Oryzias latipes: one gene and its partner. The protein of the gene in region 2 purifies or fractionates together with the protein of the main gene of each other region. This does not show direct contact. Links are inferred from orthologs where the notes say so. Each region holds a gene or a part of one and is shown on either strand. Other genes may lie near its edges.

What was found.
Region 1: the proteins of bbs7 (region 2) and bbs4 purify together in Homo sapiens (co-immunoprecipitation; 7 studies listed by BioGRID and IntAct, counting the BioPlex papers as one, with this or other methods). This does not show direct contact. The link is inferred for Oryzias latipes from reciprocal best matches to the Homo sapiens genes BBS7 and BBS4.

The regions. Positions count from the first base shown.
Region 1 is NC_019861.2:10,994,996-10,997,784, forward strand, and holds the end of bbs4 (Bardet-Biedl syndrome 4 protein), read right to left. Parts: intron 2,154-2,789; coding exon 2,084-2,153; intron 1,984-2,083; coding exon 1,839-1,983; intron 1,765-1,838; coding exon 1,560-1,764; intron 1,212-1,559; coding exon 1,108-1,211; 3' UTR 642-1,107; downstream 1-641.
Region 2 is NC_019868.2:201,011-205,444, reverse strand, and holds the start of bbs7 (Bardet-Biedl syndrome 7 protein), read right to left. Parts: upstream 3,069-4,434; 5' UTR 2,612-3,068; coding exon 2,576-2,611; intron 2,441-2,575; coding exon 2,375-2,440; intron 2,004-2,374; coding exon 1,941-2,003; intron 1,874-1,940; coding exon 1,698-1,873; intron 1,580-1,697; coding exon 1,393-1,579; intron 1,287-1,392; coding exon 1,214-1,286; intron 1,116-1,213; coding exon 1,008-1,115; intron 893-1,007; coding exon 762-892; intron 232-761; coding exon 147-231; intron 16-146; coding exon 1-15. Other genes in the region: tmem33 (transmembrane protein 33), read right to left, coding at 4,375-4,434.

The DNA of each region.
Region 1 (2,789 bases), on a different chromosome or scaffold from region 2:
TAATATATACTATTTCATTTAAAAAAAATCACTGTATGAAATCAAAATAATAATTTTACTATAATACTTTGCCTTTATGAGTACCGGTAGTAAGTTTTTGCTTAATTAGGATTACACTTGGACACATTTAGAAGTGTAACAAATCCTGAACAGGTACGTTTCACCTGTGGCGTCTGCACACCCTCACACAAGGATTGGGCCAGTGCTAACGCTACATTTGGTTTTGTTTAACATCATGTACTCTAAAGCACTTATGTTTCAGAGACAGAATAGTGTGCTTTGGGAAGTGGTGAGAGGTGTTACACAGGAAATTAACTGCTGAGCACTTTCAGTACAAACTAATGCTCGTTTGCTGCTCTATTTAGTAAGCAGGCCAGGAGGATTTGACGTCAAATAAAGCACTGTTGACACAAGAGGGCTCCAGCGGGTTTTGAACTCACGCATCAGTCTGAGGACTTTGCAGGAGGAAGCAACAGGCCTGGTTTTTTACAAATCCTCAATCTCTGTTTTTCTTTTAAATGCTTGAGAAGCTGATGTAAAATGTGTCCAGAGTTGAACTCTTACTCTGTGCAGATTCTTATTTGTCATTTTATCACACGATTCTAGTCTTCAGGTCAAAGTTAATAGAAAACACACACTGGTCAAAATTCATTTTTTTAATAATTTTTTTTTTAAATATTAAATACTCTATACACATGACATTTATCCACATATAAAAGCATGTATTGCATTTTACATTCAAGTTCTGTGGTAGAAACAAGCCATGTAGCCTAATGTATGACGTCAGAAGCCTCCGTTTGCTAGAATCAACAGTGATTGTTGCAGCTTCTCCTCCACACACTAGAAGGAGAATCTGTCACATCACTGTAACTGGGATGCAGCTAGATTTTATGTGAAAAGAATTGAAACGTAAACCTGTAGGGTCCAAGGTCGATATTTCTAAAAGCTCTACGTCCAACAAGATGTGACATTAAAAATAAAGCCCAAACGCTCCTGTGGTTGAAGCTGCAAAGACGACTGACCTACTGACAGCTGGAAAGAACCGTAGGGCTTCGAGTTCATTCTTCTGCCCGCCTTTTCTTTTCCCAAGCTCCAGACGGGGAACCGTCACACTGCTGGTTGTGGGGAGCCGGGAGGGTCGGCGGGGAGGCCGGGGTCATTCCCAACCTCGGCCTCTGGATCAGGGGCCGCAAAAAGGCTTTTGGAAACCCCTAAGAAAAAGTAAAAAATGTAGTTTAGCTTGACTTTTTTCTCGTTTCTGAGGGAATTTTAGACGCCAAAAACCATCAAGATCATTTTTTCCTGGCATCATCGTGTCATTATGATTGTCACAAAAATAAATATAAAAATAATTTAATAGTATTGTTCAAAGTCAAATAAAAAAACAATACTTTTTAAAAATATTAATGTTTGAAATGTGTTAAAAAAACTTATTTCATTCCCTGTTCCCTGTTCTTTCAGCATGTCTGCTGCGTGTTTTTTGCTCGAGTAAAAAAAAGGAGTTTCTACAAAATCTTGCCATTGCTAATTTCTAAGGGATTGCCGTGAAGCCACTGTACCTGCTGGAAGCTGAATGTTCTTATTGTAGCTTGCAGCTGACGACATGGCCTGACCCAGAGCTTGGTTTGTGCCAAGAGGAGCGCTTGGGCTTTTGGCCAGTGTTGCAGAGTGAGGCTTGGATTTGGAGTCCTTGCCTGGTTTGGTCCACTGCAGGCTCTCTCCCACCTGCAGAGCAGCCCCCAATTTCTGAGCCATGTCCATGAGCTGTTGGTGCATCAGAGAAGAGGATTAACAACGAGGAAGGACAAAAAAAACAGAGCCGCTGAAGCAGAACACACCTCAGGATCAAATTCTAAGTTGCTGCTGCTGTCCTGCAGGATGTTGACTTTTCTTTGCATCTCCTGATATTGATCCAGAGCTGCTGTCTTGTCCCCGTGATTATAGAGGAAGATCGCAAAGTTCAAGTTGACCAGGGGGTTGGATCTGTTAGAGATAGATCATAAAGAAAGCTCCCAAACCGCATCAATGATCTGAAAGGATGAAATGGTTACACAACTTCATGTCTAAGGCAAAGTAAACTCACTCATCTAGATTCACAGCTTGCTCATAAGCTCTGGTGGAATTCTCCACGTCCTCCAAGTTAGTCAGAGCCACTAGTGAAGATAAGACAAATGACAAATTGAACACACACTACTCACAAGAAGTTAGAGATATTGTCAAAAACTACTCAGAACATATACACAGTGTTCATGGGGAGGTAGGGCTGGGCAATATAGAATTTTTTATATCACAATATAGTTTTTTTTTTTTTTTAAATATCAGACGATAATATATATTACAATTTATACCATGGTACGGGTGAATACTTGATTCTGATTGGCTGCTGGGTGTGACAACCGTTCCGGTCACATAGCTTACATGTTCTATATCACAGCGCCGGCTTCTTTAAAACAAACTTTAGCTTCATCAACTGAACAAAAACAAGCGGTAAGAGATGAACTTTCTCTCTGAACTGATACCACGGCGGCCCACTTTATTTAACCCACTGTGACGATCAGCATAGATATTGCTTTCCTTTGCTGCTGCGGTCAAGATCAGTGCGTTGTCATGTTACCGTGACAACGCACCGCACCACCTAACAATGGTCCGCTTTTTGAATCTTTTCAATCCTAACCAGAAAAAAATAGTACTAAAAACTGATTGAATATTTATTTATTTTGTAATTGATCATGGTATAAGCGGGACTGGCTGACGAAGTGTGCAGAAATGAAGGCAATTCACGGAAGCAA
Region 2 (4,434 bases):
AACCAGTCACCCATCCTAGAAGAGGAGCAGTATTCCAGATTCAATTATAATGGTCCTCTGTCAACTAACAATGCGTGAAACCTGTGAATTCAGAATAGTTGAGAGGCTGACAGTGTTGTAAGGTTCAGGAAAACGTCTCTACTAACCTGTATAAGTGGCAGTGACAACCTCATCATAAGACTCTTTCCCCACACAGCCTCCCTGGATGGAGGTCACACTCTCAGACAAAACCTGTGACCAGGAAGGAAACGTTTCCGCTTTAGCCCTCAGGTCATGAAATGCTGATCAGGATAAATAGCTTTTTCAAACAATAACAGGACTTTTAAACACCAAAACAACAACTACAAACAAAAGTTCTGTTAAAGACAAATATAAGAAATTTAAAATGAATTCATCATTTTGCTTTGACAACCTGCTCAACAACTAAAGTTATGGATTTATGTTTCGCAAATAAATGTAACTTTTTTGTTTTTTTTTATTTATTTGAAATGCTTTATTTCAAGCAATCAAGGAATAATGCACAAAACAATACAATAAGCATTCATACAAAGACGTATCAAACTTAGGATAATAGATAATAGATATTAAATCAAAGATTGCTTGAAAGGGAGGAAAGGAAGCGAACAACTGAATTGAAATAGCTTCAGGTTTAAAAACAAAAGGATGCAGTTTTGGCAGAATGGATTTGTTGACAGAGATTAACTGTTAATTAGAATGAAGGAAGATGAATAAAACAACAAAGACTCCTGATAGAAACCTACATGCTCAAAGCGTAAGGTGGGCTCATTGGAACTGTCAAAGCCATAAACCTGCACCGTCCCATCATCTCTGCCCACCAGGATGTCATTCACGCCGTCTCCAACGATGTCGTACGCGTCGGCGCAGAGAATCCCTGACAGGAGACAAACGCCGTTTGCTGCTGAACTACACTTAGAAATGAGTCTGATACTCAAGCAGCTTCTATGAAAACGTGATTGAAAATATTTGATCATCCAAAAGCGAGTTACCCCCTTTTTTATTGTCATTATCAATTTCCCACTTGGCCACAGCGGAGTGCTCGCCAATCTGGACAAGTCCAAGTCTTCCATCTGTAGTTCCATAAAGGACCTCCTCCCCTGAGAAAAGATGGATGGAATGCCAAAGCTGGTGTAAAAAGAGCAGATCGAAGCCATAATATTCTTTGGATACTCAGCTGAAAAACAAATGGACTAGCCTGCATCTTTATTGTACAGTTCCAGGACTGATGGAGGACCGGGGACTTCAATGTCATAGGCAAGTGTGGAGCCCTTCAGTCACATGCAGATAAAATGATAGAAAGTAAACTATATGGAACTGACTGAAGGTCATGCACTTCCTGAAATGAAAAGATAAAGAAATAAAAGCTCAACTGACCTGCAAGACTCTCAGAACTCGATCTTGACATGCCAAGACCGGCGTGAGGTGAGGGAGCTTTTCCGAGGACACACAAGTGATATCATTGATTTTGTCTCCAGACAGGAAGTAGTCCTGATCCTTGCAGTCACAGTAGTGATTGTAAATGTAACTTGCACACACAAAAAGGTCAGCACCTGAGACATACCTGGAAGACAAACACCACTCAAGGGGAAAGCTCACAATTCTCCATCACTTCTCCGAACAACTCACTCAACTAGAGCAAACAATAATAATGATGAGAGAAGTTTTAGAGCGCGTCTCACATGGCGTTGATGCTTTCAGTAAGATTGGCTTCAAAGGTGAGAAATTGTTTGCCTTTCTTGGTGAATCCTCGAACCTGAGAGCCGGAGCAGACAAAGATCTTCTCCCGAGGAGTCCCAAGAGCACCTCCAAGGTCCATCCTACAGATCTTCTGGCCCGGGAGTGTTTTAAACACAGGCTGAAATGAGAGTCTCTTTACTGACAGCAGGAGAAGTGAATGATGAGTCAGTAAAACCTAAACCCACCACTGCCTCCCCCTTCTTCATCCCAAAACATGTCAGAATCCCATCGTGATCAGCAATGGCAACCTGCAACACAAAAATCCTTCATTGGGGAACATTGCAGATCATTAGTGAAGATGTTACTAAAATTGTATCAAAGTCAGCAAACTGTTTTCCAACCGGAAGAGAGCATCTCAAAGGAGACCAGAGGGCTGTGGCTATGCAGGCTTTAAACAGCTGTTTTTCTGCATTCAACTTGATGTTTTTATGCAACTTAGTTGGAAAGAAATTGAACAAAATGATTTTCTTATTGCTTTTGTTGTGAATGTCTTGTTTTATAGCTTGCTTCAGTTTAAAATGTTCAAACAATTAAAAAAAAAACTTAAAGCACGAAAAGGAGATTCTTGAGATTAGTAAGGAGACTCCAAAAGAACAGAAAAGAACGGCACAAACTCTACCTTTTGAGTTGCCTTTTTCCCCAAAGCTGGAAGAAGTCTCATAGATTTTTGAGATGTCACTCCAACCTGAAGGGGAACGATGGAGCAGTGATGGTTTGAATTAACTTCAACTATCACCAGCTCCAAATGCAGACGTCCACATTAAAGTAATATAACAAGACGAAAAGTACAAATAAATACAATTTAAATGTGTCGTGTTACCTGAACATAATCGACTCTGTTAAGGTGGATCTCCATCTTCAGCCTTCACCTCGTCCTCACTTTGTCGGGGAATAACAGAAAAATCCGGCGACTCTTTGGTTTTGACCAGATTACGGGGTGCTGTTTATATCCGACTATGATTATGTTCGCTTACAATTGGTAAAAGAAAATCTAGATAAGGTTAAATTACAGGACGAAACCGGTGCAAATTAGGACTGAGATTATCTGAAAGCAGGGGATTATGCAGATGCGCTAACGCTAGCTAGCAAGCTAATCGGCTAACACGATTAATTCACGGCCAGCTGTCCTTTTTTTTAAAGATGACGTCATCGTTTTTAAAAGAATGTAAAGGTGGACATCCGTTACGCGCTGAGCAACACGGTTTGGATATGAATGCAGAGCAGAAGAGTTACCGTGTAACATTGATTTTGCCAAATAAACTGTGTAGCCTCGGTGATGTTGCCCATGGCAACGACGCTACAGTCTGTAAAATACGATCCAATTGGATAAAGGCTAAGAAGGAAATTGATGAATCTGAAAGCTGATTGGCTGCTGGGACTGTGGCCTTGTGTCCGAATTAGACAAATGCTTAAAAAAAAACTTTATTCATACAAATCCGGCATTATAATTTACAATAAATAAACGTAACAGCAACTTTGAGTAAAAAGGTTTACAATCCAGAAAATTAATGTTGTCATGTATGTTACACATCTGATTGCCTTTGTTCAGAAATAATGTAAATCTGTTTTCAGTAGGATTTTTGAAAAGAGTTGTTTTTATTTATTATTTGGTTTGCAAAAGTCTTAGAAAATGTGGAATAAAATGATTTTAATCAATTTCACAAATAAAAACAGAAAAATTATCCGCTTTTAGGATCTCCTTTTGTAAAAATAAAAAAAGGGGGTAGATAGAAAAGACTTTTCCCTTTTTGATTTTGGATAACCCAAATGTGTTCCAGCTTAAAAGATTGTTGTATTGTGTGGGAAAAAATAAGCCTATTTTACAGCAGGAATGGGTTTTTCTTTCATCCGTTAGATCTGGGCCGATGGTCACTTGCAGCCCTGACCAAGGAATATCACCACAAACAAAAACGTGAATTTTCTTTATATTTCTTCTGATTTATTAAAGAGATAACTTCATTTTTGTTATACAAAAATGTGGCATGACTGTAGGCAAAAAGCACATTTAACAGGTTTAAAAAAAGTAGGCTTGCGGAGGAGAGCTAGGAACGTTCATAAATGAAAGGAGGTCAAGTTTTCCATCTAAAAAACATTCAAACAAACATGGCATGCTTTGTCAAAATCATTTTAAATACGCATCCTAAACCAAACGGTTGAGCGGGTTCAATTATTCTAAAAAATACAGCAAATTTTATTCAGCTAAAAGCTTTTTTTTTAAAAAACATTAGCCAAGCATGTTTTGTATCAATGGAAATCACTTGAAGTCAAGCATTAAAACAAACAAAAACAAGATTTATCATGTATACATACATACTCAAGTAGTTCAGACTGTTAATGTTTTATTATAAAATAAACCATTTCTTTGAATAAATAGTGAACAGCTGATATTTTGACATTGCCGTCTGTAGCAAGAAGATGAAAATCAAAACCTCCCCAAAGGACTTCAGAGCATTGGAGGCTGATCTCTGACTGCACCGTCACACAGAAAAAGACTGAATGTGATCCTCAAAACACAAGCTCCTTCCACTGATGGCATCGTCTGCCCAGTTCCACAGCAAACAACAAACCAGGACAGAAAAAAGCAACAGTAAAAGAATAAACTAACATAATTGGTAATAATCAGACCCCTGTGGGGGCAAGCCGGCTGATGAAGGCGATGCTGTTGAGGCACATCCTCCT